Rattus norvegicus: one gene and its partners. Each later gene encodes a partner of the first gene's protein in a complex. Links are inferred from orthologs where the notes say so. Each region holds a gene or a part of one and is shown in the gene's direction. Other genes may lie near its edges.

Region 1 (3,500 bases):
TCTGGTCATTTGTTCCCTCATGGGATGGCCAGCTCCATGCTTTGTAGCTTAAATGGTGCTGATGGTTTCAGAGCCCTCTCTGTCCTGTAATTTCACAGCAGGGTTCTAGTTCTGTCTTGTTTGTATAAAGCAAATGTTCCTCCTATCTACCAATCCCTTACATGTTGAGAAACTGACCTTACAGCCTGTTCCTTTCATTTATAAATATTTATGGTATTACTCATCTGTAACTCTTCTGGGTCATTGTTTGGGAGGCATGGTCACCTACCAGCTCATTTGTCTTCCATTGTGAAGACACTCCATCCTTTTGGTGTTCTCCAAAGTACTCCGGCAGTGTTTCCTGCAAGGAAGACTACGTTCCAAAAGTGTACTTTGAAACAGGGTCTTGCTGTGTTGCTCAAGCTAGCCTCAAAATCCTGAGCTAAAGGATTCTTCCTACCTCAGCCTCTCAGGTAGCTGGTACTATACATAGGCATCACTGCCCCTGACATTTGAGGAGTTCTAACGGAGGGTCTTTTTTTTTTTTTTATATATATATATATAAGTATACTGTAGCTGTCTCAGATACACCAGAAGAGGGCATCGGTTCACTTTACAGATGGTTGTGAGCCACCATGTGGTTGTTGGGATTTGAACTCAGGACCTCTGGAAGAGTAGTCGGGTGCTCTTAACTGCTGAGCCATCTCTCCAGCCCCTAATGGAGGGTCTTAAGATGAAGAACACTGGGCTGGGGAGATGGCTCAGAGGTTAAGAGAACTGGATGCTCTTCCAGAGGACCCAGTTTCCAGCACCCACATGGTACCTCACAGTCCTCTCTAACCCCAGTTCTAGAGGATCAAAAGGATCAAATGCCTTAGTCTGCTCCATGGGATCCTCCATACATAGGCAGCACATAAACACACACACACACACGCACGCACGCACGCACGCACGCACGCACGCACGCACGCACAGGAATAAGTAAATTTAAAAAGGGATCAGGTAGTGGTGATGCACACCTTTAATTCCAGCAAGCAGGAGGCAGAGGCAGGCAAATCTCTGAGCTTGAAACAAGGTCTTTATAGAGTGAGTTCTAAGACAGCCAGGGCTACACAGAGAAACTCTGTCTTCAAACAAACAAACAAACAAATCTAACAGCAACAAAACAAAACAAAAAAGGAAAGGAAAAAGAAACCAAGAAATGGGGCTGGAGAGATGGCTCAGTGGTTAAGAACACTGGCTGCTCTTCACATCCAGGTTCAATTCCCAACACCTATATGACAGCTAACTGTACAAATGTCAGAAGGGGATCTGATGCCCTCTTCTGGCTTCTGAGGGTATGAGGCATGCATGTGCTGAAGCATCCATGTATAAAATAAAAAGAAATTTTAAAAAGAATCAAGAAACTGGTGGTGGTAGGAAATACTGGAGTAATGCCTTCGTTGGGTCCAAAGCATCGTAGACCTGTTAAACAGGTTTTCCATGGGCAGTTTGTTGTGTAGGACAAAGTCTCACTGTGCAGCTCACCCTAGCCCAGGCTTCATGATGTCTAATGACTGGGTTACTCCGTGAGGAATCAGTTCCACCACAGATCTTTCTGCCTTAGTCTTTTGAGTAGTACCACCAGGCCTGGATATGTACTAGTGTCCTTGATTTGTTTTTTTAAAGAGTTATTTATTTATTATATAAGTGCACTGTAGCTGTCTTCAGACACACCAGAAGAGGACATCAGATCCCACTACAGATAGTTGTGAGCCACCATGTGGTTGCTGGGATTTGAACTCAGGACCTCTGGAAGAGCAGTCAGTGCTCTTAACCACTGAGCCATCTCTCCAGCCCAGCCCTTGATTTTTTAAAAATATATTTTTAATTAACTATATATTGTGTAAGACTTGGCAGTTAAGAGCACTGACTGCTCTTCTAGAGGTCTTGAGTTCAATTTTCAGCAACCACATGGTGGCTCACAACCATCTGTATGTAGTGGGGTCCGATGTCCTCTTCTGGTGTGTCTGAAGACAGCTACAGTGCACTCATGCACATAAAATAAATAAATAAAAATTTAAAATTATGTTTTTGTTTTCGGTGTATGGGTGTTTTGCCTGCATGTATGTCAGTGTGAGAGTGTTGGATGGCTCCGGTGGAACAGGACTTACAGACAGATGTGAGCTACCACACAGGTGCTGGGAATTGAACCCAGATGCTCTGGAAGACTAACCAGTGCTCTTACTGCTGAGCCACCTCTCCAGCCCCAATTTTTTTTTTTTTTCCTTCTTTTTTTCAGAGCTGGGGACCGAACCCAGGGCCTTGCGGTTGCTAGGCAAGCGCTCTACCACTGAGCCAAATCCCCAACCCCCCAATTTTTTTTATTTTTTTAATTTTAAGTTAGCATGTACATTTTTTGTTTTGTTTTGAGACCGGTTTTTCTGTGTAGCCCTGACTGGCCTGTAATTCATTCTTTAGACTAGGCTGGCCTTGCCCGGCTATCTGTAACTTTAATTCCAGGGGATCTGATACCCTCTTCTGGCCTCTGTAGGGACTGCATGCATATGGTACACAGACATGCAGGCAAAACACTCATACACATAAAATAAATAAAACAATGGGGCTGGAGAGTTGGCTTAGCAAGTAAGAGTACTTGTTCTTGTAGAGGACCTGGGTTCAATTCCTAGCACCCACAAGGTGGTTCACAACCATTTATAATTCTAGTTCCAGGGGATCTAACACCCTCCTTTGGCCTCACTAGGCATGCGTGTGATACACAAACATACATGCAAAGCAAAACACACATTACCCTCCTCCCCCCCCACACACACTAAAATAAAACATACATATAGCACACATACACAAGCAGCACACAAGAAGAATGCACTCTGTATGAACCTGTCTCTGTCGATCACGATTGGGTGCTGCTTTGGGGACCTCAGGGCATTTGCCTGAGAAACTCAGTTGCAGCCTGGGGAAAGCACACCATGCCATCCAATCTGTTCACCTCTTTCTCTTCTGTCTTCCTCAACAGTCCCCCTGGTCACCGAGAGGAGCCCTACCTCACTGAGGCAGGAAGGGATGCCTTTGACAGGTTCTGCAGGCTCTGTCATGGAGAACTACAGGCCCTCAGTGGGGGCCTCCTCCAGACCCCAAGGCCTGTGCTGGTGGAGGAAAGCGAGCTGGTGAAAGACTCACTGAACGTTCTGCTGGGTGTTGTCTCTGCTACATTTTCCCTCTGTCAGGTGAGGAGGGTTCGGGGCTATCTGAGACCAGCGCTCTGTGGGACAGCCTCCCCAGGCACGCTCAGCTGGAGATGCAGTGCCATGAGTGCCAGAGAAGGCTGCTCTGTGGGGCTGATTAAAGAGCCACAGGTTAGACTGGGCAGGCCAATTGGTGTTAGAATTCTTGCCAAGAATGTGAGAGGCCCTGGGCTCAATCCCCAGTATTAGAAAACAAAACAGAAATTCTGTTTAGATTTTAAGAGTTGACTTAATGATGTCCTTTATATTATTGAACAAAAGAACTTATCATGATCA
Region 2 (3,500 bases), on another chromosome or scaffold:
TTTCTTAATGAAGCAGAAGTGAGGTTTTTAAAAGCATTTTATTAAATTGTGAACACGGGTAAGAGAAAGAAGCATGCAGGAAGACAGTAAAACACTCCAAAGTGTGGTGTGGGCGCCTCAGAGGGTCTCTCTGTTGTCTTTGCAGTGGTCATATACAAGGTCTGGAGCAATGCTCTTAGAGCCTTCTCAGAAACCTGAATGAGACCACAGAGCAATTGCTTGGGACCATGGTGCTTTCATAACTATGTCTAACTGTTCTCCTTTTCCATTTCTGAGCTTTTACTTCTTTAATTATTTTTTTTAAACTTTAAGTAATAGTATCTTTAATTTTGAACACCTTTTTAAAAGACCAGAACTTGTTCGGCCCGCAACAACTTTGTATCAGCATAACTTGACGGGGATTCTTGAAACTGCTGTAAGAGCCACCAATGCCCAGTTTGACAGCCCGGAGATCCTTAAGAGACTAGATGTGAGGCTGCTGGAAGTAAGTGAGGCTGCTGGGGGCCTGTGAGGGTGCTGGGGGTGTGTGAGGGTGCTGGGGGCGTGTGAGGGTGCTGGGGGCGTATGAGCGTGCTGGGGTGCATGAGCGTGCTGGGGGCGTGTGAGGGTGCACATCTTTCTGAGGGGATAGGTCCCCATAGGTCATGGGAGCATCACGGTGCTTAGTGGCGTGAACCACATTTAATGGTACATTGGAGGTGATGCATGCATGTGGTCAGCAGGCAGGGACTGTGTCTGCTCCTCAGACCACGGGAGTCTGGAGCTGGTCTGGTAGGAGGGCTGTGCTTAGCATGAGCATGAGTCTTCACTGCCTGATCTGCCTCATCACTAAACCCACTGGCTTTTTGTTTTTAAGTTTCTGAGCTTGATAGGAGACAGTGTGGGTTCATCATGAAAAGGTTGAACTTCGAGCGTGTGTCTGTACTGCTCATTCAGAACAGTGCTGCTCATTCCCACATGATCACAGAGCGCCTGGGATGTGCTCCGCTACTCTCCCCTCGCTCGCTCTGAGCTGGTGCCAACGGGGCAGATCCCTGCTCGCACAGCAGAGCGCTTCCTGGTCTTAAAGCCTGCACCTCCTGTACTCCCCTTCCTTAGAGCAGTTGGCAGGTTCCTTAGCAGTGAGTACAAAGCCTCTCCAGTATTTGTTGTTTTATTTTATTACTCTTAGGTCTCTCCTGGTGACACTGGGTGGGATGTCTTCAGCCTGGATTACCACGTCGACGGACCAATTGCCACTGTAAGGTCATTTTGTGTGCTTGTGTGCTTGTGTGAAGTATGCGCAGTGTTTGGATTGCTGGGCTTTTTATTGTTTCAAATTGGCTTTCTTTTCTAAAAGCTAAGGTTCAAAGGAATTGTGATGTCAGGGTCTACCCACTGAGTGGGTTGCATAAGCCAAGGCTGTGTTCAGAGAGTTATTAATGAGAGCGGAAACGCTCGGTGATTTTAAGAATTCTTAGAAATATCATTGTTCTGTCACAGGTTGCAGCAGGTGCTTATTAAACGCATTGTTCATTTTATGCCATTATTCTTAGACTGTAGCAAGTAATGTAGGATAATTTGAAAGGAAGCATAAAGTATATTTTAGGAGAATCGTATTTTTTCTCCTTAGGTGAGTTTGATATCTAGCATTCATCTAGGCTGATGAGCTGAGAGCTGTCCCGTAGTGAGCTCCTTCGCTCACTCACTGAGGAGGGCGGTTTGGTCTGCGGCACGGAGCGTCGGCTGGAGGAGCTGCCTCCACACGCCTCCAGCTCGTGTTCCCGCCCTGTAGGGTTAACTGAGACTTAGTCATTTCTGCGTCTGAAATGCTAGGGAAATAGATTACATTTCCTTTATTATTGGGGACATTTGCTAAGCATGACTGGGCTCTAAAATCCCTTCTCTAGTGGGTGTCGCAGGTGGCTTCATGACTGTCCCTTCTGCGTGATAAGTCGAGTCCCTTGGCATGATTCTGTGTAGGCCACATTCACAGAGTGCCACCCAGAGCTGTGTCGTAAGTCCACGGGGCCTGAGAGCTTCAGGAGGTTTCTTTGACTTGTGGATTCCATGTTTGACTTTGATCAGGTCAGAGCTGCTAGTTTAACTCCACAATTGCTCTTAAGTTTACCCACTACCATATTCAGTGTGGCCCTGGGCTTGTGCTGTGAGTTGCTGTTCTGTGTGGTGGACTGTGCCCAAGTGTGTGCTACATCAGCAAGTTAGGACTGATATGTGCTTTCTTAGATTGTGGCTGTAGTATTTATTTGTATGCATAAAGGACACAGTAAGGCTCAGGGTACAGCTCAGTACTGGAGCACTCCCCTAGTGTGTCTGAGTGGCTCCTACGCTCCATCTCCAGGCCATTACTTATTGATGGTGTCACACACCTCACTGGCATGCCACAGTTGCACACCGTGTACTGTGGATAGCTAAAACTCAGGTTTTGAATCCATCTTTAGCAGGACTGAAGAACAACATTTTATGACATATCTGTGACAGCCCAGTCTGGCCCACAGGTATCCATTCAGACACCAGCTGAGTTGGTTGTGTCAGCAGCCTGGTCTGCTTGATGGAGAAAAAAGAAGGGGTGGTGTGATAGCTTAGTCAGGACCAGAGTGCCGGGCGTGTTCTCCTGCATGACTTGTGGTGTTTCTGTTTGTGGGTGGTGAATTATTTTACCATTGCTATCCTCATGGGCTTATTATTGCAAAAGCGCATGTGTTCAAATCAGCATTAGCGGTTGTCTGTCAGGTTTAATTGTAGATGTTACTGAGGCTGGAAAGAAGGTGTAGGAAGCCAGCTAAGTGAGTTTACTGTACAGGATTGATGGCTGCAGTCCAGGTCCCCAGCTCTCATGGAGATGCTGAGTGGTTCTGGAGTCCCCTGCAGTCCCAGTGCACAGGAAGCAGAAGTGAGATCCCCAGAATGGGCAGGCTGTGTGGCTGAGCAGAATTAGCGAGCTCTGGGTTCAAGGACAGAGAGACTCTGTCTCAACAGTAGAAGATGAAGGCATCTGCATGCATATGCAGCTATGTCCAGGCATGTACACACATGCAAGAAGGAAAAAGTACACAAAAGATAAGGGAAGCCTAGTGTATAAATACAGCCTTTTTCTGCTTTTCCCTTGGTTAATTTGTGTGTTACCTGTTTCCGTTCTATTCTCATTAATTGAGGTTGTCATTTTTTGAACAGAATTTAATTATAGTAGGAATATATCCTATAGCAATCATATAATTATATCTCGTATAATAGCAGCATTAGCTTCTACTAATTCTAAGATGTAAAATGTCAGTGAGATTTTTGGGTTAGTCTAATTTGGGACATTGTGAAATTCACAACCCAGGTTGCAGAAGAACGCATTAGCTAAATGCAGCTCGTTAACTATGTGCAGTATTTCTGGTTGACCCTGCTTTTCATGAGTCTCAAGTTATTTGTGGTAAAGTCCATCCAGATTTAAGAGTGGCGAGGTCACTGAGTCTCGATTCCAGCTACAGAAGACTGATTTGGAGGGCTTTGCT
Region 3 (3,756 bases), on another chromosome or scaffold:
GCAGGGAGATGGGATGTTCCCTTGGGACCTACAGAACGTGGCTTGTCCTCTGGGTGCCAATTTCTGAGGCGTGCTCTTGATCCTTTTGTACACGAGCTCAGTGGCACTTGGAAAGGAGATCGATGGCTGGGGAGGTCCTTCCGGTTCACAGTGCCTTCCTCTGCTTTCCCTCTTCTTTGCCCTCAGGTACCCCAAGAAATTGGTGCAGACCTACTCTGTGTTTCCCAACCAGGATGAGATGAGTGACGTGGTGGTCCAGCCCTACAACTCCCTCCTCACCCTAAAGAGGCTGACCCAGAACGCGGACTGTGTGGTGAGGAAAGGAAGAGGGAGTCAGGACTTAGCTCCCCTTCTAAGACTTGTCCGTGCCCTTCTCTGGCCCTGGCTCACACAAAACACCCAACAAAGCCATGACACTGGGCCAGATTATGAACTAAGATGCCAACTTCCAAGTTGCTTCCAGGATTTTGGGGCAGCCACAGAGTATTCCCCTGTCCCGGCATATTACCCCATTTTGCCTATTCGGTGCCTCCTTGTGCTTGAACTCAAAGGTCACTTTAATAGCAAAACCTCCCCGCCTCCATTATTCAGATTCCTTTGTGTATGTTGTGAACTAAACTTGTCTTAGGTGCACGTGGTTGTTTATGCCCGTAATTCCATTTTTGCGTAGGCTGAGGCAAGAGGATCACTATTTGTTCAAAGGATAGCCTGGGCTACATAATTAAGTTCCAAGCCAGACTGAGCTATGGACTGAGATCTAGTCTAGACTAAAAGAAAGAAATGGGGGTTGGGGATTTAGCTCAGTGATACAGTGCTTGCCTAGCAAGCGCAAGGCCCTGGGTTCGGTCCCCAGCTCCGAAAAAAAGAAAAAGAAAAAAAAAAGAAGAAATGAAGCAGGATTTTACTAAATCTGTCCTAGCTGACCTCAAACTTGTGATCCTCCTTACCTTACCTTTTTCTTAAATGTATTTATTCTATGTGAATACACTGCAGCTGTCTTCAGACACACCAGGAGAGGGCATCAGATCCCATTACAGGAGGTTGTGAGCCACCATGTGGTTGCTGGGATTTGAACTTAGGACCCCTGGAAGAGCAGTCAGTGCTCTTAACCGCTGAGCCATCTCTCTAGCTCCCCTACCTCGGCTTTTTAATTGGAAATGTGTGTACTCCCATGCCTGCTGTATTTATGGCTAAAAGAGACTAAATCTGAGCTATACCTCCAGCCTTGTTTCAATAATTGCTTTTTCCTGGACTGTAGGCCCAAGGGCGGCACATATCTGTTCTCTGTAGTCTCTCTAGAACCAAGGCATGTGGGGGACATATATGTTTATGGTCCTGTGTCATGCCATTACTCTTATGGTATCCCAGAGATAGAATATTTCTTTGAAGGTAGCAAATCTACTTCCTGGTTTGGGAATTTACAGACATTACGCATTGTCTTATTCCGAGGTCCCCTTTTGCCTCAAAAGATGTTATAGAGCCCCATATCCTGCCAGGTGGTGCTGGACAACACGGCCCTGAACCGGATCGCCACAGACCGCCTGCACATCCAGAACCCATCCTTCTCCCAGATCAACCAGCTGGTGAGCCCCCACTCCTGGAATGAGAGCCCTCTGTCTGCGAGAGAGTCATCAGAGGAGGGACGCTCCACCTCCATCAAGTCCCATGACACAGTATTTCCTGCTCCCAGGTGTCCACCATCATGTCAGCCAGCACCACCACCCTGCGCTACCCCGGATACATGAACAACGACCTCATCGGCCTCATCGCCTCACTCATTCCCACCCCTCGACTACACTTCCTCATGACTGGCTATACCCCCCTCACCACGGACCAGTCAGTAAGAGCTCCCCCAGTGTCCCAGCACTGAGGCCTTTCCCTTTTCCATACTCTCCCACACAAAGCCACTCTTTGCAGCCCTTCTCTACCCACCTCCCCAGGTTCTATACTCAGGGCCTGACACTGCCACCAGTTTGCAGCCCTGCCTCCGTGTTCTACTACCTTTGTTTGGCTCCTGCAGGAGTGCTGCCCAATGGGGTCTCCTGCTCATTGCTCAAGGGCATGGGATTGGTGAGCTGAGAGCCATGATCGATCAATTGATCGATCCTAATCCCATGGCAGAGACTCAGCACAGACCTGATCTAAAGACAGTCCCCAGAGGCCACACCTCCTGCCAGCTGATGGGGACAGAGTTGACCCTTCTCCTCTGTCCATGCCACTCTGAGTTGCTCCCTGACTGCTGCCCGGGTCCCTGTGAATCCCTGTTCCCTCAGGTGGCCAGTGTGAGGAAGACAACAGTTCTGGATGTCATGAGGAGACTGCTACAGCCCAAGAACGTGATGGTGTCCACAGGCCGGGATCGTCAGACCAACCACTGCTACATCGCCATCCTCAACATCATCCAGGGAGAGGTGGACCCCACCCAGGTAAGGAAGGCCTCTTTACCCTAGCCTGGGGACCACAGGATGGAGAAGAAGCCACCACCACCTCTCTGCCCACTTCAGGTTCACAAGAGCCTGCAGAGGATCCGGGAGAGGAAGTTGGCCAACTTTATCCCCTGGGGCCCGGCCAGCATCCAGGTGGCCCTGTCAAGGAAGTCTCCCTACCTGCCCTCAGCCCACCGGGTCAGCGGGCTCATGATGGCCAACCACACCAGTATCTCCTCGGTGAGCACAGTCTCCTGTTGTCCCTGTGTTACCGGGAGTCAAACCCAGGGCTTCGGGAATGGGAGGTAGCTCTCCCCACTCTGAGCCACACCCCAGCTCCTGGTCTTTGGCCACTCTGCTCCATTCCCTATGTCCTTAGTCCCCACCCTGTCTGTCCCTAGTTCTGTGTTCTGCCTGCATGCTGTTCTGAAGCTCTCTTTCCCTCTAGCTTTTTGAAAGTTCCTGCCAGCAGTATGACAAACTGTGGAAGCGGGGGGCCTTCCTGGAGCAGTTCCGCAAAGAGGACATCTTCAAGGACAACTTTGAGGAGATGGACAGATCCAGGGAGGTGGTGCAGGAGCTCATCGATGAGTATCACGCTGCTACCAGGCCGGACTATATCTCCTGGGGCACCCAGGAGCAGTGATTGCATTTTCTGCTGTTCCCCTGGACAAGCCCAGCCCCCACCATGCCTGGACCTTCTGACACAATGTCCCCTCACATTTCTGAGTTCATGTCCCGTCTAGGAGCTGTTCCTATCTCTTCCTTCTCATTCCTGGTTCTTCACTGACTTCTTTGGTTCTAATAAAGCAAGAAGGCTCGATGATAAATACAGCAGAGCTTGGTCTGTGACTATGGGACACCAAGTGAGCACACCTTCCATATGACAACACATGACAACAGGCTGGCCTTCACCTGCTCCAACTTACTCCTTAGGTCTTAGTGTGTTTTCACTGTTCCCCATCTTACCTCGAACCAGCCTGTTTTCCTAGGGGTCAGTCCCTCTCTTGGGATGACTGAAAGTTCCTGACCTGCTGTATCCTCAGTGCCTATGCCCCTGTTCCCAGTTGGGTGACGTTGCCTTAACCTCTTATACTCAAGAGATACAGGGTCTAGGGACAAAGGGGCCATGGTGGTCTGAGCAAGTTAGAATAGCTAGGATAGAGGAGTCCCATTGTCTAGGACCACCATCGTCTTCAGGAACATAACCGTACTGAACCAGCCTGACAGAATAAAAAATTCAAGAGTAGTCCTGCGCCCACCATACCAGAGATGTTTCTACATCTGCACGCGGCCCCAGTCACCTCTCCATTTCATTCTGAAGGCACAG
Region 4 (3,500 bases), on another chromosome or scaffold:
CTGACTACCCTGTCTACCCTGACTACCCTGACTACCCTGACTACCCTGTCTACCCTGACTACCCTGTCTACCCTGACTACCCTGACTACCCTGACTACCCTGTCTACCCTGACTACCCTGACTACCCTGACTACCCTGTCTACCCTGACTACCCTGACTACCCTGTCTACCCTGTCTACCCTGTCTACCCTGACTACTCTGTCTACCCTGTCTACCCTGACTACCCTGTCTACCCTGACTACCCTGTCTACCCTGACTATTCTGACTCCTGTCTACCCTGACTACCCTGACTACCCTGTCTACCCTGTCTACCCTGACTATCCTGACTCCTGTCTACCCTGACTACCCTGTCTACCCTGACTACCCTGACTACCCTGTCTACCCTGACTACTCTGTCTACCCTGTCTACCCTGTCTACCCTGACTACCCTGTCTACCCTGACTACCCTGTCTACCCTGACTATTCTGACTCCTGTCTACCCTGACTACCCTGACTACCCTGTCTACCCTGTCTACCCTGACTATCCTGACTCCTGTCTACCCTGACTACCCTGTCTACCCTGACTATCCTGACTCCTGTCTACCCTGACTACCCTGTCTACCCTGACTACCCTGTCTACCCTGTCTACCCTGACTAACCTGTCTACCCTTTCTACCCTGACTACCCTGTCTACCCTGACTACCCTGACTACCCTGACTCCTGTCTGATGATCGTGTCGTCATACTCCACAGGGTCCATCTTGAAAAACCAGGAGGACACTTTTGCTGCCGAGCTGCACCGGCTCAAGCAGCAGCCACTCTTCAGCCTGGTGGACTTTGAGCAGGTGGTAGATGGGATTCGTAGCACTGTGGCTGAGGTCTGTCTTCTGTCTCATATTCTTCCAGAAGAGATGAGTTTGTAGAGCACTAAAGGGCACGAAGGAGAGACAGGGACAGGACAGAAAGATGGATGGGGCTGGAGAGGTGCTCGGTGGTTAAGACTTAGGTTCAATTCCCAGGACCCACATAGTGGCTTTCAACCATTTGTAACCCGCTTCAGGGGATCCAGTGCCCTCTTCTGAGTTCCAAAGGCACAAGGCAGACACCCTCACGCACAGAAAATAAATAAGTAAAAGTACATCTACTTTTCAGGTAGAAATGGAACTAGCCCTTCCACTGGTGTGTTTTAATTAGTTGATTAAAGGGGAAGTCTCAGTTTAATTCCTAACACTCATGAATTTGGGTGCTAAGAAGTTTTGTGTGTGTATCTGCCTGTGCCTGTGTGTGTTTTAGTATCAACCATGTATTTCTCTAGCACACAGTAATCTTAGAAGGAAAGCAAGCACAGGATGGTGGTCCTGGCCCTTGAGACAAGTGGGAAGGGAGGAGTAGGATTCTGGGTACTAGTATTTCTTGACTTGAGGGTGCTTATGGTGATTGCCATGTCCGTTGTGAACTTCAAGGTGTAAGCTTATGATTTTTGTTTTTCTATGTAATAGTCACTACTTTGACAATAAGGTTTTAAAATTTTGGATAATATAAGAGAAAAACGCTTGTATCTTCAGTTGTTTATTATTTACATGGAGACATAGTATTGCTAATTTATTGCTGGCTAATCTTACACATTCCACTTAACTCTGCGTAACTAACTTTTAATTTATATGTTTATTTTATGTATATAAGCACACTGTAGCTGTCTTCAGACACACCAGAAGAGTCATCAGATTCATTACAGATGGTTGTGAGTCACCATGTGGTTGCTGGGAATTGAACTCAGGACCTCTGGAAGAGCAGTTGGGGCTCTTACATCTGTTTTTGTTTGTTTGTTTGTTTGTTTGGGTTTTTTTTTGGTTTTTTTTTTCGGAGCTGGGGACCGAACCCAGGGCCTTGCGCTTGCTAGGCAAGTGCTCTACCACTGAGCTAAACCCCCAACCCCAGTGCTCTTACATCTGAACCACCTCTTGAGTTGAGTCCCTGGTTACCTAACTTAGTTCTGGGACTTGATACTTTTTTTATGTACTAAAGATGACCGCCCCTGAAAATAATGTTTTACAACATTTCTCCCAGTGTGTAAACATACATTGTTCTAGGCTCTTTATTGAAACAGTAGACAAGTGGGCTTTGTTTGCATAAATTGTGTCAAACAATAGAGGTAATATTGGACATTTCTGATTTCCTGACTCTTAGAGATGCAGAGTTCATGCATTACTATGATATTTACTGTAGGCTTCTAGAAGGAAGTTTAACAAAGTATTCTCTTCCTAGTTAACCGATTTTTTTATCCTAAGTGATGTCAGTTTTACCAGTTGCCCCTTGTGTTAGTGAAAGAGAGCATCCTTGCCTTGAATCCATTTCTCTTTCATAAAGTTTTTACATCTGTGTGCATTAGTTAAGAAAGACGATTGTCTGTCTTCTCTGTCTTATTCCTGGGTAGTTTTTACATAAGCCTTATAAAATGGGCTAGGTAGCTGCTTTTGTTCTTTCCTTATTATTTGTAAAAACAGTCTATATCAGTAATTGGCTACTGAAAGTTTGAACTTAATGAGAAGTGATCTAAGCTAGACTTTCTCAGGAAGAAAAACTTTACTGGTTGAGTATGTTTTAAAATGAAATTACCATAAAATTTCTTCTTGTAACAATTTTGATAATTCTGTGACTGTGGAACTTGACTATTTCAGTTTTTTTTTTTTTTTTTTTTTGGTTCTTTTTTTTCGGAGCTGGGGACCGAACCCAGGGCCTTGCGCTTCCCAGGCAAGCACTCTACCACTGAGCTAAATCCCCAGCCCCGATTTAATTTTTTAAAATACTTGTTTGTCTATATTATGTTTTGTTTACTTAAATTCTGTCTTTTAAAATTTATTTTATGGCCTGTCAGTGGTAGCATTGGAGAGGCAGAGGCAAGTGGATCTCTGAGTTTGAGGCCAGTTTGGTCTACAAGGCAAATGGCCAGAGCTACACAAAGAAACCCTGTCTAAAATAAATAAATAAATAAATAAATAAATAAATAAATAAATAAATAAGGAAGAAAGAAAGAGAGAGGGAGGGAGGGAGGGAGGGAGGGAGGAAGGAAGGAAGGAAGGAAGAGTGTGGTATGTATACTTATGTTACAAAGAGTGTGTGTGTGTTAGTGTGTGTGTGTGTGTGTGTGTGTGTGTGTGTGTGTGTGTGTGTGTGTGTGTCCATGCACACCCACCTGAGAATAGTTTCAGATACCTTCTTTTGGCTAGCCTGGCTGGCCAGTGAGCACCAGCATCTCCCTGTCTTGCTGTCTCCCAACATTGGGTTCTGGACATGAGCCACTGCACTCAGCTTTTACATACATGCTGGAGATCTGAACTCAGGTCCTTATGCTTGCTTAGCAAGATTTTTCATCACTGAGCCATCTCACCAGCCCCAGTTTTTCTCATTATTTAGTCTTGTTAGGCTTTTATTAAGATTAATAAGCTAGTTATAATCAGCTTCTCCTCCTTAATTTAAAACATTTATAAATGGAAAAATCACATTATTTCAATGCATAGATAA
Region 5 (3,500 bases), on another chromosome or scaffold:
CCAGTCTTGTTGCAAATTTCTAACTAAAGTATTTTTTGCAAGATTTTACATTAAAAATATAAAAGCAGCTTAAGCTTGGTGACATTGGACTATAATTTCAATGCTTAGGAGGCTGAGGCCTCCCCAAACAAACAAATAGGCCTAATTTGGAAACAATACTGCTGCAAAGGTGTGAAGGTCTGAGCTTGCCTCTTAAGCTCCTACCTACATAAGAACTGGGCCTTTTTCCCTCTGATAACTCCAACCTCGAGTAACAGAGACTGGAGCTCTCTGGGGCTCTCTGGCCAGCTGGCCTAACTCAGAGCACACTTCAGGCTCAGTGAGAGAGCCTCTGATGATAGAATAAGGTGGGAAGTGACATCAGACAACCTTTTATGGCTCTCTACATGCACACCTACATACACACACATGCATGAACATACATAGAATACACACACATAGAAGTAGATATATAGAGAGACCCCAAAATGAAGTAGGACAACTGGTATTTTGGATTAATCAATTTTGGATAAGTGATTAGAGATAAATGGTTATTAGAGTCATAAATATTATTGTTAAAAGTTGGTCTCTGTATAAAACGTCAAATTGAAGAGGTTCTAAGAGGGTCCCTGTCTTTGCATCCCTTCATAGGTAATTGCTTTAAAAAGGCAGCTTATTTGGGGATGGAAGGCCTAGACAGAAGGCTCAGTTAAGAGTGCTTGCTGCTCTTGTAGGTCCCAAGTTTGATTCCCAGCACCTGCACTAAGCAGCTCACAGCAACTATAACTTAGTTCCTGGCAAGCCAACACTGTCTTCTGTACCCACACTCACATGTACATCCCCACAGAGAGGGAGACACACATAAATATACATCACTTAAAGAAAATACAATTTATAGTGAGCTTCTTTGGTATTGAAATGTGTACATAAAAATAAGAAATATGAAAATCTGTCTGCTGCTAATAGTTGCTGGGGTACTTGGCTAGTATATAGGTCTAGTCAGGATTATTTAAAATATGTATTTTATTGTTGGAAACTTTCTGTTCTCTGTTCGGCATACATTCATTCATCAACAGTATTCTCATTGTGCTTGTGCTAGCATGATGTCAAGAATCGTCGCACCTTCTTAAAGCGGACCAAGTATGAGGACCTGCGCGTGGAAGATTTATTTATAGGCAACAAAGTCAATGTGTTTTCTCGACAGCTGGTGCTGATTGACTATGGGGACCAGTACACAGCCCGCCAGCTGGGCAGCAGGAAAGAGAAGTAAGGACACTTGTGTCATCGTTTTCCATTGAAACGTTGCTTGTGACTCCCTTTCCATGTCTTCATAACCTAGTTTTTCCAGTGACCCAGTATAGCTTTATAACATTCAAAAAAACTCTTGGGATTCGTTCCTTGAATAATGAGGTATTGCCTGTAGTACTAGGAGGTGGTTATTTGGACGGGTCGGGGGAGGAGATAAAGCTGTTACCCATTCTATCTTCCTTATGTATATTTCTCACTAAAACCTAAGACTATTTGAGCACAAGGTTTTCTTCCTAAGGATAAGTGTGACATTGGGGTAGGGGATGTGATAATGCACCAATCACTGTAAATTCAGGAAAAAATGAAGTTAATTCTTGCAAGACTGAAGGCTTTGTGTGTTTGTTCTGTCTTGATAAAACTGAATTGAATTATACCCAAGTAAATGAACTGGGGAGAAATGCTAGTCAATGGAGTGAGTATATAGAAAGATACAAAGGTGGGAAAGTCCATCCTAAGTTGAGAACAACTATTTATTATCCTGCTTGAGTAAGTTGGTGGCTAAAACTTATATAAGTTTAATTACTAAAATAATGATCTGAATGATTATGGTAACAATAGATATGAAGAAGAAATAGGAGTGCGCTTGATTAACTAAATGGAGTAACTAATGCATGCTGGGAAACAGCTCAGTTGGTGAATGTTCGTTTAGCACAGATGAAGCCCCAAAGGTCTGGGCTTTGAGCCCCAGCTCTGCATAAAAGTGGAGATGGCTGCACATGTCTGTCATGCCAGCACTTGGGAAGTGAAGGTAGGAGACCAGAAGTTCAAGGTCATATTAGTTTACACAGGGAGTCTAAGGCCAGCTTGGGTTACATGTGATTCTGTCTCAAAATAATAATAATAATAATAATAATAATAATAATAATAATAATAATAATAATAAAAAAGCTCAAAGAATGGAAGCTTTAGTAACTTCTGGGTGAGATGATGAGGAGATGCCTCAGGGAGATGGAGCAAAGGACACAGGTGAGAGAGAGAGAGAGAGAGAGAGAGAGAGAGAGAGAGAGAGAGAGAGAGAGAGAGAGGAGAGAGAGAGAGAGAGGAGAGAGAGAGACACAGACACAGAGAGAGACAGAGAGAGACAGAGATCAGACCATCAGAAATCACAAAGTAAGAAATAGCTTGCTCTGGGGAATTTTATTCAGCTACAGAGAATGAAATTCAAATGTATGGAAAGTGGATAGAACTGGAGATCATTACATTAAGTGAAAGAAGCCAGACAACTGAGAGATATCAGGTGGTTTTTTAAAAAAATAAGTGGAATATAGATAGATGGATAGGTGGATGGATGGATGGATGGATGGATGGATGGATGGATGGATAGAGTGTAGAAAGGGGAGCATAGAGGAGAGAAGTCTAAAGAGAACTTTTGGTGGAAGGGGAAGGGACTAAGAAGAAATGAGTCAGGATTGGGGAGGTTGGTGGGGTGTGAAAATAACTCTGTAACAAAAATGTCACCGTGAATCACATTATTTTACATACCAGCTAAAAAATTTTTATTTAAAGAAAATTATGTCAGCTATAGAGTGTGGGCAAACAAAACGGACAACCCAGTGGGAAGGAGTAGGCAGCACACTGCTTCACTGTGGCAACTCTCTGGCAGCGTTGGCAGGAGGGGCTGGGGCAGGGTGGGGTAGAAGCCTCATCTGAAAGGGGACTGGCGGGAGGTGGGAGAGAGGACGGGCATGGGTAAGGCTGGTAGATGAGTGAAGTTCACTATGAAAATGGAACAGTGAAACTCATGGCTGTGTGCGAGAACCAAAATAAATGTTAAGATCTGAAAAAAAAAAAAAGGGAATTTAAACACAGGAGACTGGATAGGACCTGGGAATGATTCTTGTCATCTTGTCTTATTCAGTTTTGTGTTTCTTGCATCACTGAGCAAATCTCTCTCCACAATGCAAGTGCAAGGTTAATTTTACCTTATAGTTTTGTAGCTTTCATCCTGTGACTGTTTGGGCTCAATGCTTTGGGTCGCTGCAACACAACAAATTATGAAGGGATATTGAGTGGTGGAGGAAGCTCTACACCTTAGGGCAGAAAAGTAAAGGAGAAGGGGCTGCTGTCCTAACAGCCCTTCTAAGTTGTGGCCTAAAGACCGCCCAGTAACCCCACTGCGCTCGCACGTGCACACGCACGCATGCACGGTTATCCTCACATGTACCTTTTTATTCTTCTTTCCTTACTGTTTGCCATTCTGATTTTCTTTAGTT
Region 6 (3,500 bases), on another chromosome or scaffold:
CATCTCTCCAGCCCTCTTTTCGTTTTTCAAGACAGGGTTTCTCTGTGTAGTCTTGACTACCCTGGAACTCACTATAGACCAAACTGGCCTCAAACTCAGAGATCTGCCTGCTTCTCCCTCTCAAGCACTGGCTTTAAAGGCATGCACTGCACCACCTGGTCCTTCTAATTCTTAAATCTTATATCTTTATGACAATTTGAGTAACTCTAGGTCAGCCCTCTCACAGACTAGACAGTGGCCATGGAGGGCCCTCATAGGCTTTTATCCTGAGGGAGCTACACTTTTCGTTATGAAGAGATAAAAGTTCCTGGTCACTATAAATATTGATATGTGTTTCGCTTTTTGTGGCAGATGAGCCAGATAGCCGGAGCTGGCTGGAACAGCATGTAGTCCATCAGTACTGGACAACCAGGCGCTCCCGGATTCCACACAGTTCACATTTGCACTCCAATTTAGCTGCTGTCTGGTAAGCAGAACTTCTTATTTAATATAATGACAGAACAAACTTTGATGGTTAAGCATATAACTTTGGTTCGTGACTTAAATCATGAATTGTAAACTTGTTGGTTTTAAACAAGTGTAGTGGAATGTATGCGACAGTAAACATAACATCATGCTGGGGAGGAACCAAAGGCCTTAGACACATAACACAGCACTGTTTTGCTGAGCTGAACCTTACCTCCCTTTAGCAATTTCTAATTAATATTTAATATCATGAAATTACTAATGGCACTATGTTTATCTTCCATTTAAGTAGATTGATATATGCTAGCCTGTATTTAATTTCTGTTTTAATGTACTTACTATAAAAACACTAATTTTTTAAAAATTGCATAGTTTTAAGCAATTAATAGAATGATAAAGCAATTGTAGTTGCTCTGAACATGCTTCACTAAAAAGATTTCAGTGAATCTGAAAAATGAATATGGAGTGAACTTAAGACATTTATTGTGTTTATTTTTTAATTGCTGAGTATAAAGCTGCATATATTCATTGAGGCAAGTAATTTTACTTAAAACTTTTCTGTTGACCTTTGATGTTTGCTCTTTAATAGGGACCAACACCTGTACAGCAGTGACCCGCTCTATGTTCCAGATGACAGGGTGGTAGTTACTGAGACACAGGTCATTCGGGAAACCCTATGGTAAGAAGCATCAGCCTCGGAGATTGTACTGTTGAAAGGAAAATTGTTTTGTTTTGCTTTTAAGGAATATACCCAAGAAATTTTACTGGGAGGCTAGAAACAGGCCTTAGGGATGAATTTCAGACTTTAGATAGATTTTACTGTGAAGATTGTGTAATTTTGATATATTCTTTCCTATTTTAAATAATTTGGGATTGAGTTAGACCATCATTTTTGAATACCTGAGTTTAAAGCAAGGTTTGCTGCTGACTGCTTATACTTAAAATGTGTCTGTGAGGGTTGTCTGTGCTAGACCCAACACTGTGAGTCTCTTGCAACCTCTGATGAGCCCCTGGGTCCAGGTGGTGCTAACATTCTATCCATATCTGACAGTGTTACACACGCAGTGGTTTCTTTGTATCTTCAGGAGTTTAGTGGTTCTGTATGTCTGTGTGCATATGTGTGTGTGTGTGTGTGTGTGTGTGTGTGTGTCTGTGTGTGTGTCTGTGTGTCTGTGTGTGTGTGTGTCTGTGTGTGTGTGTCTGTCTGTGTGTGTGTGTGTGTAGGGGTGGTTGAACTTATAAAATGATGCTGAAATATCTTGAGTCTTAATCCTGTGAAGTTTGACAATCTTCCCATTTTTGTGCAATTGACCTATTTTGTCCCCTAATTCTGAATTTCCAAAATAAATTTCTCAGCTATACTTTAGTGATTATTTTAGTAAACTTCAAATATATTGATCTTGATCTTTTCTTATTTCATTTCAGGTTACTTTCAGGGGTAAAAAAGCTGTTTATATTTCAGTTGATAGATGGAAAGGTAACTGTGAGAGACAATATTATCGTAACTCATTTAACACACGTAAGTATCTGTGTTTATTGTTGCTTAAAAATTAAATTTAAAATTAAACAGAAGTCTTTTAAATGTTGGTAATAGGGCTGGAGAGATGGCTCAGTGGTTAAGAGCACCCGACTGCTCTTCCAGAGGTCATGAGTTCAATTCCCAGCAACCACATGGTGGCTCACAACCATCTGTAAAGAGATCTGATGCCCTCTTCTGGTGTATCTGAGGACAGCTACAGTGTACTTATATATAATAAAATAAAAAATAAATCTTTAAATGTTGGTAATAGACCTTTAGAGCATTTTACATTATCAGATTTATTGAAGAGAGTAAAAACTCTAAAAAGTAAAATTGAGTTGTGCATCATTACAGAGCTTAACCAACTCTTAAATATTTGTGACATTTAATTTTAATTTTTATTTTATCTTATATTCTGTATTGAGAAAGCAGGATGCGTAATGATTTTTTTCTGTACTTTATGTGTGTTTTTTAAAAGTATAAGCAATAATTCTGTAGTATGTACAAATTGATTGTTCACTGTTTCACTGAACTCGTTCTATTACTTTGTCATGTTCACACAGTGTCTTTTACAGTTTAAACATTTGTGAGAGGCCAGCTTTAAACACTAACACTTGACTTCTGTTGTAGAGCTGTTTACGATCTGTGCTGGAACAGATAGCAGCATATGGCCAGGTTGTGTTTCGGCTCCAGGAGTTCATCGATGAAGTCATGGGGCACAGCTCTGAAAGTCCATCACCAGGAAATGGTCCCATACCTAAGAAGACACCTGACGCTCCTTTTAGGACCTACCAGGCGTTCATGTGGGCCCTCTACAAATACTTCATTAACTTCAAGGAGGAGCTTACAGAGATTGAGAAGAGTGTTATCAGTAATGGTAGGTCTTTTTTTTCTATTTATAAACTACCTAACTCATTTTGAATACTATTAAAGTTATTCAGTTATTGATAAGACATTTAAAAATTACATGGCAAATAAGTAATTTTCATGAATATATTCGTTTTTAAAGTGATTTTAGGGCTGGAGAGATAGCGTGGCAGATAAAGGCACTTGCCACCAAGCCTTACAGCCTGAGTTTAATCTGTAGGACCTGCATGATAGAGGAGAAAACCAGTTCCTTCAAGTTATCCTCTACCTCCACATGTGCACTGTAGCACACACATCTCCCTCCACCACCACCCATATACGCATGCACACACAGAAACACACACATTAGTAAATGTAATAAAATGTTAAATAACTTTGAAGCTACCTTAAATTTCTATTTTTAAGCCATTTGTCTGTAAAAATCCAAAAAATGCCGTAGCTTACAGTGCTCACTTTTTCTTGTTCCAGTTCCTCTCCCAAGACAGGCAGCTCCTGTACATTCTTTTAGAGAGTACTATGTATGCGTATGAGAGCGCCCCCATTTCTTTTTGTGAAAAAGTTGTTTTGTTCATGCTGTGGTGGACATTTGGACTGTCCCCACTCTACTGTTAGCGGTACCTGCGGTGATTACCCCTTAACCGTTGCAGCA
Region 7 (4,254 bases), on another chromosome or scaffold:
CTATACACATAAGAGCGCTCAGATCATGTCTGCTGAAAGAACCATTAGAAGATTCGGTGCCATCTTCTCCTTGTATTTACACTTAAAATTATTTGTAGTTACTTTCAGTTAAAATCACTTGTAAACACTAGGCAAGAAAAAACTTACTGGTAGTTTTGTGGACTTAAAGACAGAAGGACTAGCAAGGGTTTGTTCATGGAGATTAGAATAATCACTGGGACTTTCAAAGGGATTTAAAACAGGGATCCTTCCTGGAGTTGCTGGTGTTATTTGCATTTTTAATTCGCTGACATCTCCCATAGCCCAGGAAGCAAACTAAAAAGAAATCAAAAGTATACATGTTAAAATTACTGAGTATCATGGATATTAATCCTGACAAAATACATTCGACATCTCACAAAGAGTTCACTCCAAATGGCATCCTCTTGGGGTTAGTTTATGTTTATAAAGGAGAATTAATCCCGTACGTTTTCTCAGATGATCCTGAGAAGCTAACCCTGGAAGCTGGGGAGGTAAGGCACTGGTGCTATCATTTTTCTGAGGAAGCAACACATGCACGGAAGTTAGGCGGCATATATGAACCAGCCAACCAGTTATGAGTGAGGTCTGGTTCAATCTGATTACACTAAACTCAAGCACCTTCCAACCAAACGACTCCTATTTGCCGTTCTCTTTATTCGTTTTCTCCAGACTAAATATTATGAACACCCTCTGGATACCCACGTAATCCCATAAAGAACTGCAATTATTACTACTGGCACGTTAGTCTTCACTTGAACAGATGACTGACAGGGTGGATCCAGGTGGGGATTTAAACTACTTTTCCCGAAGACCACTTCCCGCCAGGATCCAAAGGCACGCTGCACTCCTTCCAAACAGGATTGCAGCCAGAAGCGGGGGATAAAAAGAAGAAAGAATTTACTTTTGGAAGACCAAAGTTGAGCGGGCTCCCTCCGTACCAGCAGGGACGTCACTTCCAGCGACCATTCAGCTTCCAGGCGTCCCTCTCTCTGCTCCCCTTCACACCTAGGCGAGCGCACAGGCACGTCTGCAGCCAGGAAACCAGAGCGGTCCAACTCGAGACAGGAGTCCAGGCCTGGGGCCACGGAGGACGTACCGACATTCGTGGGTAACGTGGAAGTTCTAGCACCCCGCAGGGCCCACCGCAGGCGCCGACTCTTTAACTCCCTCAATGCTCTCCGGCCAACCAGGGCGCGGGGCGGGGAGAGGCCACCGGCCAATCGCGTCTCACCGCCGTCCGCGAACCAGCCAATGGCGTCGAGGCGGTGGGGTGAATTCGAACGCTAACTCCTCGCTCTACGTTCCGCGCAAGGGAACGAGGCTCCAAATTCAAATCAACGCGGTCAGGCGTCCGCGCTCTGCGCGAGGGGGCGGGGCTTGGACGGCGGGGGCGGGGCCTAGGCGGCGTGAGCGCGGCCGCGCGGTGAGATAGTGGGGCCGAACGGCGGGCGCTCCAGTTCCGGGTCAGGCCTTCTCCCACCGGTCGGGGGCTTCTCCTCTCCATGGCTAGCGGTAGCGGCGCGGGCGCGGCGGCCTCGGCCAACCTGAACGCGGTGAGGGAGACCATGGACGGTGAGTGCGTGTCGCGCTCCTTTTACCCGGCCTGCGCTTCCCGGCGCTGAGCCCCGGGTGGGGGCGTCGTGGAGGGCCCCGTGGTCCCCTCATCGACCTTAGCGGTGTCCTGCGAGGGGACGGGGAAGGGACCCACGGCGACCTCGAAGGTGGCGGCCCCAGAGCGCCGGTCTTCCGCTGCGGCGTAGTTTGGCGCATGCGGGGCGTTCTGGCCTCGCGTCCGCTGCTTGCGCGCCCGGCCTGGGTCCACGCGACCCGCCTGGCCCCTGGCGCGTGCTTGTGGCACCGCAGAAGCCTGCGACTGAAGTCCCGGGCGAAAGGGGTCGTGGACCTTCGGTCACTGCTCAGTCTCTGGCGTTTCAGTAAGGAGCAATTTGTTTCTAGTGTATGAGGACATCTTCCGGTCCCCATCTCCCACTCCTTAGACCGGGCGACACGGGTGACTGCTGTTGTGGGTGTGTCCGCGCCCGCGTCAAATGGGTAGAGCGCACCCACTGGTACGAAAATAAGCCTCGGAATTGCCTTCTCTCCGCTGTGGTTCTGCAGCTTCGCACCTCTGGGACCCCATAGTTATTTTCTTTATTAAAATAAAGTTGTAGTTCCAAGGGATACTGTGGGTATTTAAAATAAGACAACCAGGTCAAGCGTTCATCAAGTTTTGTTTGTTTGCTTTTTCTTTTGCAGTAGCTGCCATCCCGTCTGCAAGCATCTTTCTTTGTCTTACTTCATTTTACTAGTTTCCATCAATATGTGGTGCTGCTATATGCAGTGGCTTTGACGGTTTCTAGGGGTTACCACCCCAGCAACTTAAGAGATAACCTTATGTCACAGTACTGCCCCGTGTTTTCTTCACTAAACGCCCACCATATCTTGCCCCTTCTGATAGGATCTTGGAATGTTCCACAGCTTAACTTACCATAAAGTAAATTTATGGACACAAGGGTACCATTGTAGGTTTGGGGTTGTGTTCTGAGACAGACTCTCGCTGTGTAGCCTAGAGTGACCTCAAATTCCGGAGCTTTCTCTTTCTTCATTCGGAGTGTCCACGGAGTGCTGAGTACACCAGTGTGTGTTGTGAATAGTGTCTGAGGAGGGAAACTGGTCTAGTTGGTGGCCTGCTGGGAGAAAGGCTTTGCATCCCTACCTTTTCTGAGAGAACTTGCTGTAAAGTAAAAAAGCACAAAATAGAAAACCATTTAAAAATGAAGACCAGAGAAGTTTGTTTGCTTTTATTTTTAATGAATGGAGAACATGCGTGAGGTTTTAGTGCAGTTAAGTCATTGGGATGAGAACCAACATGAAATTTTCAAAGTTGGGATTCCGTCTCTTCCTTTGGTAGCAGTTTTTCTTCAAGCTTGAATGTATTTCTCCTTATCATTTTGCTTGCTTCAGATTCCCAACAGTGACTTAATCTTTTGATATCACTGGTTTGCTAGGTGAGTAGGACTCACGGTAAAGTTTGCAGTTGCTGGAGCAGGCAGGCATGTAACTTGTTTGCCCGTGCTGTGGGAGGAATTTGATTTTTCCACAGCCATACATACTCAAAAGCAAGACTAGGAAGTCTCCATTGATGAGAAAGAGGTTTTCCCTACAAGGGAGGAGCAGAAGGGAACCATAGTAGGGTCTGGAGGATTCTGAGGAAGTGTGCTGCTCTGCCAGTTATCAGGCAGAAATGCACCGTCTGCCCTCAGAGATGGAGAAGCATCATCTGTGTGTTGAGCTAAGATGCCTCTATAAACCTTTGTCCAGAGAGCTTGGGGCCGTATTGAGAGGGGATCAAAGAGCTTGTGAGCAAGAGGAGCTTCCCATCTGAGAAGAGCCTTCATCCAAATGTCACAAAGTACCTTAGGTAGGTGAAAAAAGAAAGTCATTGTAAGTCATAGCTATGAAGTATAATGGCGGTCGGGTACCTGGTGGGCCCATGCCGAGGTGTCCCCCTGAGAAATCACACTGTGCAACAGATCTGGTATAAAGGGGGTTTATTTGGGGGAAGGGAGAGGAGTGAGGGCCTGGAGAAGAGGTAGTGGACATAAAACAGGCCCAGAGATGGGAGCAGAGCCTTGAGGACAGAGAAGCAGGGACAGAGGACAGAAAAGGAGATGGAAACAGAAAGGCCGAGCACATAAGGGAACAGAGAGGGAGCTGGGATAGCGAGCAGTCTCGGAGATGAGGACATAGTGCAGAGGGCCTTAGCTTAGTTACCACATTTACCACCCAGAGACCCAGGTGGGAGGGGCACAAAACACCCAGGATAGCAGAGGGAACACAGTACTATGCTCTCACAGGGCTGGAAGACCTTCTACCAGCCAGCGAGGAAAACACAATTTGTGAAGCAATGAGTAGAGTGTATGGAAAGGTCTTACCTTAGTAGCAGCGTCAGCTCTTGACTACAGTGCTTGGATTCTGCCCAACTGATGTGAAGAGTTAGACCTGAGTGAATCTGTTTCCAGGTAACTATATTTATTATAAGCTCAGGAGTACTTACAGAAACATAAAACACATCCTTTACCAACAAAGTAAATTTACAGTATCTGGCTTATAATCACTGCTTATATGAAACAGGAAAATGAGTTATGAGAAAAATTCAAACCATTAGCAGAAAAAAACCCCACAGGCATTACTGTATTCCATAGTCAAAAAATTTTAATACTGACATGGAAA

The links.
Region 2: the proteins of Tubgcp6 (region 1) and Tubgcp3 are in contact, whole or in part, in a cryo-EM structure (PDB 6X0U), measured with the Homo sapiens proteins. The link is inferred for Rattus norvegicus from reciprocal best matches to the Homo sapiens genes TUBGCP6 and TUBGCP3. Residues at the interface, in NP_065194.3 of Homo sapiens: Pro65, Arg67, Asn68, Leu71, Met72, Ser74, Phe75, Asp76, Arg78, Asp87, Glu90, Asp151; in NP_006313.1 of Homo sapiens: Pro9, Asn10, Val11, Leu13, Gln14, Glu25, Ala26, Ala29, Gln30, Phe32, Gln33, Val36, Arg37, Ile39, Gly40, Ser41, Phe43, Thr129.
Region 3: Tubgcp6 (region 1) and Tubg2 share a complex: the UniProt entries of both Homo sapiens proteins name them as parts of the gamma-tubulin ring complex. The link is inferred for Rattus norvegicus from reciprocal best matches to the Homo sapiens genes TUBGCP6 and TUBG2.
Region 4: the proteins of Tubgcp6 (region 1) and Tubgcp4 are in contact, whole or in part, in a cryo-EM structure (PDB 7QJE), measured with the Homo sapiens proteins. The link is inferred for Rattus norvegicus from reciprocal best matches to the Homo sapiens genes TUBGCP6 and TUBGCP4. Residues at the interface, in NP_065194.3 of Homo sapiens: Leu312, Thr313, Ala315, Gly316, Arg317, Ala319, Phe320, Phe323, Leu326, His327, Glu349, Pro390, Glu391, Ser392, Ser395, Leu396, Glu399, Tyr403, Ser455, Leu456, Leu457, Thr458, Gly460, Phe461, Lys464, Lys465, Arg468, Arg471, Tyr472, Glu475; in NP_001273343.1 of Homo sapiens: Met1, Ile2, His3, Glu4, Leu6, Leu7, Ser10, Gly11, Tyr12, Pro13, Gly14, Ser15, Ile16, Gln29, Phe31, Pro32, Phe33, Leu34, His35, Pro36, Glu38, Thr56, Ile59, Glu60, Thr63, Val66, Gln67, Gln68, Ile84, Arg87.
Region 5: Tubgcp6 (region 1) and Nme7 share a complex: the UniProt entries of both Homo sapiens proteins name them as parts of the gamma-tubulin ring complex. The link is inferred for Rattus norvegicus from reciprocal best matches to the Homo sapiens genes TUBGCP6 and NME7.
Region 6: the proteins of Tubgcp6 (region 1) and Tubgcp5 are in contact, whole or in part, in a cryo-EM structure (PDB 7QJE), measured with the Homo sapiens proteins. The link is inferred for Rattus norvegicus from reciprocal best matches to the Homo sapiens genes TUBGCP6 and TUBGCP5. Residues at the interface, in NP_065194.3 of Homo sapiens: Glu290, Ala291, Ser292, Lys293, Arg294, Arg295, Cys296, Trp297, Glu298, Arg299, Val300, Gly301, Cys302, Pro303, Pro304, His306, Arg307, Glu308, Glu309, Pro310, Tyr311, Leu312, Glu314, Lys322, Arg325, Leu326; in NP_443135.3 of Homo sapiens: Asp211, Asp212, Arg213, Trp215, Leu216, His219, Val220, Val221, His222, Trp225, Ser230, Phe232, Pro233, His234, Leu238, His239, Ser240, Asn241, Leu242, Leu264, Val265, Thr266, Glu267, Thr268, Gln269, Arg272, Val302, Thr303, His304, Leu305.
Region 7: the proteins of Tubgcp6 (region 1) and Mzt1 are in contact, whole or in part, in a crystal structure (PDB 6M33), measured with the Homo sapiens proteins. The link is inferred for Rattus norvegicus from reciprocal best matches to the Homo sapiens genes TUBGCP6 and MZT1. Residues at the interface, in NP_065194.3 of Homo sapiens: Met1, Ala2, Ile4, Leu7, Phe8, Asp10, Leu11, Cys12, Ala14, Leu15, Pro17, Ala33, Leu37, Val40, Ala41, Ala44, Leu45, Asn48, Ile70, Leu73, Lys85, Arg88, Leu89, Leu92, Val93, Glu95, Leu96, Leu104, Leu105, Ser109; in NP_001065243.1 of Homo sapiens: Asn17, Ala20, Val21, Thr24, Val27, Leu28, Glu30, Ile31, Ser32, Ile34, Leu35, Asn36, Thr37, Leu39, Glu42, Thr43, Leu44, Ile46, Cys47, Arg49, Leu50, Cys51, Glu52, Gln53, Ile55, Asn56, Pro57, Glu58, Ala59, Leu60.

Annotation. Positions count from the first base shown.
Region 1 is NC_086025.1:122,071,792-122,075,291, reverse strand, and holds part of Tubgcp6 (gamma-tubulin complex component 6), read left to right. Parts: intron 1-2,995; coding exon 2,996-3,206; intron 3,207-3,500. UniProt on the Homo sapiens protein: Component of the gamma-tubulin ring complex (gTuRC) which mediates microtubule nucleation.
Region 2 is NC_086034.1:83,588,485-83,591,984, forward strand, and holds part of Tubgcp3 (gamma-tubulin complex component 3), read left to right. Parts: intron 1-348; coding exon 349-484; intron 485-1,171; coding exon 1,172-1,240; intron 1,241-3,500. UniProt on the Homo sapiens protein: Component of the gamma-tubulin ring complex (gTuRC) which mediates microtubule nucleation.
Region 3 is NC_086028.1:86,594,610-86,598,365, forward strand, and holds the end of Tubg2 (tubulin gamma-2 chain), read left to right. Parts: intron 1-186; coding exon 187-313; intron 314-1,496; coding exon 1,497-1,583; intron 1,584-1,690; coding exon 1,691-1,840; intron 1,841-2,273; coding exon 2,274-2,426; intron 2,427-2,504; coding exon 2,505-2,666; intron 2,667-2,874; coding exon 2,875-3,072; 3' UTR 3,073-3,256; downstream 3,257-3,756. UniProt on the Homo sapiens protein: Tubulin is the major constituent of microtubules, protein filaments consisting of alpha- and beta-tubulin heterodimers. Gamma-tubulin is a key component of the gamma-tubulin ring complex (gTuRC) which mediates microtubule nucleation.
Region 4 is NC_086021.1:128,608,880-128,612,379, forward strand, and holds part of Tubgcp4 (gamma-tubulin complex component 4), read left to right. Parts: intron 1-731; coding exon 732-856; intron 857-3,500. UniProt on the Homo sapiens protein: Component of the gamma-tubulin ring complex (gTuRC) which mediates microtubule nucleation.
Region 5 is NC_086031.1:79,210,962-79,214,461, forward strand, and holds part of Nme7 (nucleoside diphosphate kinase 7), read left to right. Parts: intron 1-1,078; coding exon 1,079-1,245; intron 1,246-3,500. UniProt on the Homo sapiens protein: Possesses an intrinsic kinase activity. Displays 3'-5' exonuclease activity with a preference for single-stranded DNA. Does not seem to have nucleoside diphosphate kinase activity.
Region 6 is NC_086019.1:115,782,294-115,785,793, forward strand, and holds part of Tubgcp5 (gamma-tubulin complex component 5), read left to right. Parts: intron 1-351; coding exon 352-466; intron 467-1,054; coding exon 1,055-1,144; intron 1,145-1,890; coding exon 1,891-1,984; intron 1,985-2,614; coding exon 2,615-2,861; intron 2,862-3,500. UniProt on the Homo sapiens protein: Component of the gamma-tubulin ring complex (gTuRC) which mediates microtubule nucleation.
Region 7 is NC_086033.1:82,202,637-82,206,890, reverse strand, and holds the start of Mzt1 (mitotic-spindle organizing protein 1), read left to right. Parts: upstream 1-1,454; 5' UTR 1,455-1,523; coding exon 1,524-1,593; intron 1,594-4,254. Other genes in the region: Bora (protein aurora borealis), read right to left, coding at 148-300. UniProt on the Homo sapiens protein: Required for the recruitment and the assembly of the gamma-tubulin ring complex (gTuRC) at the centrosome.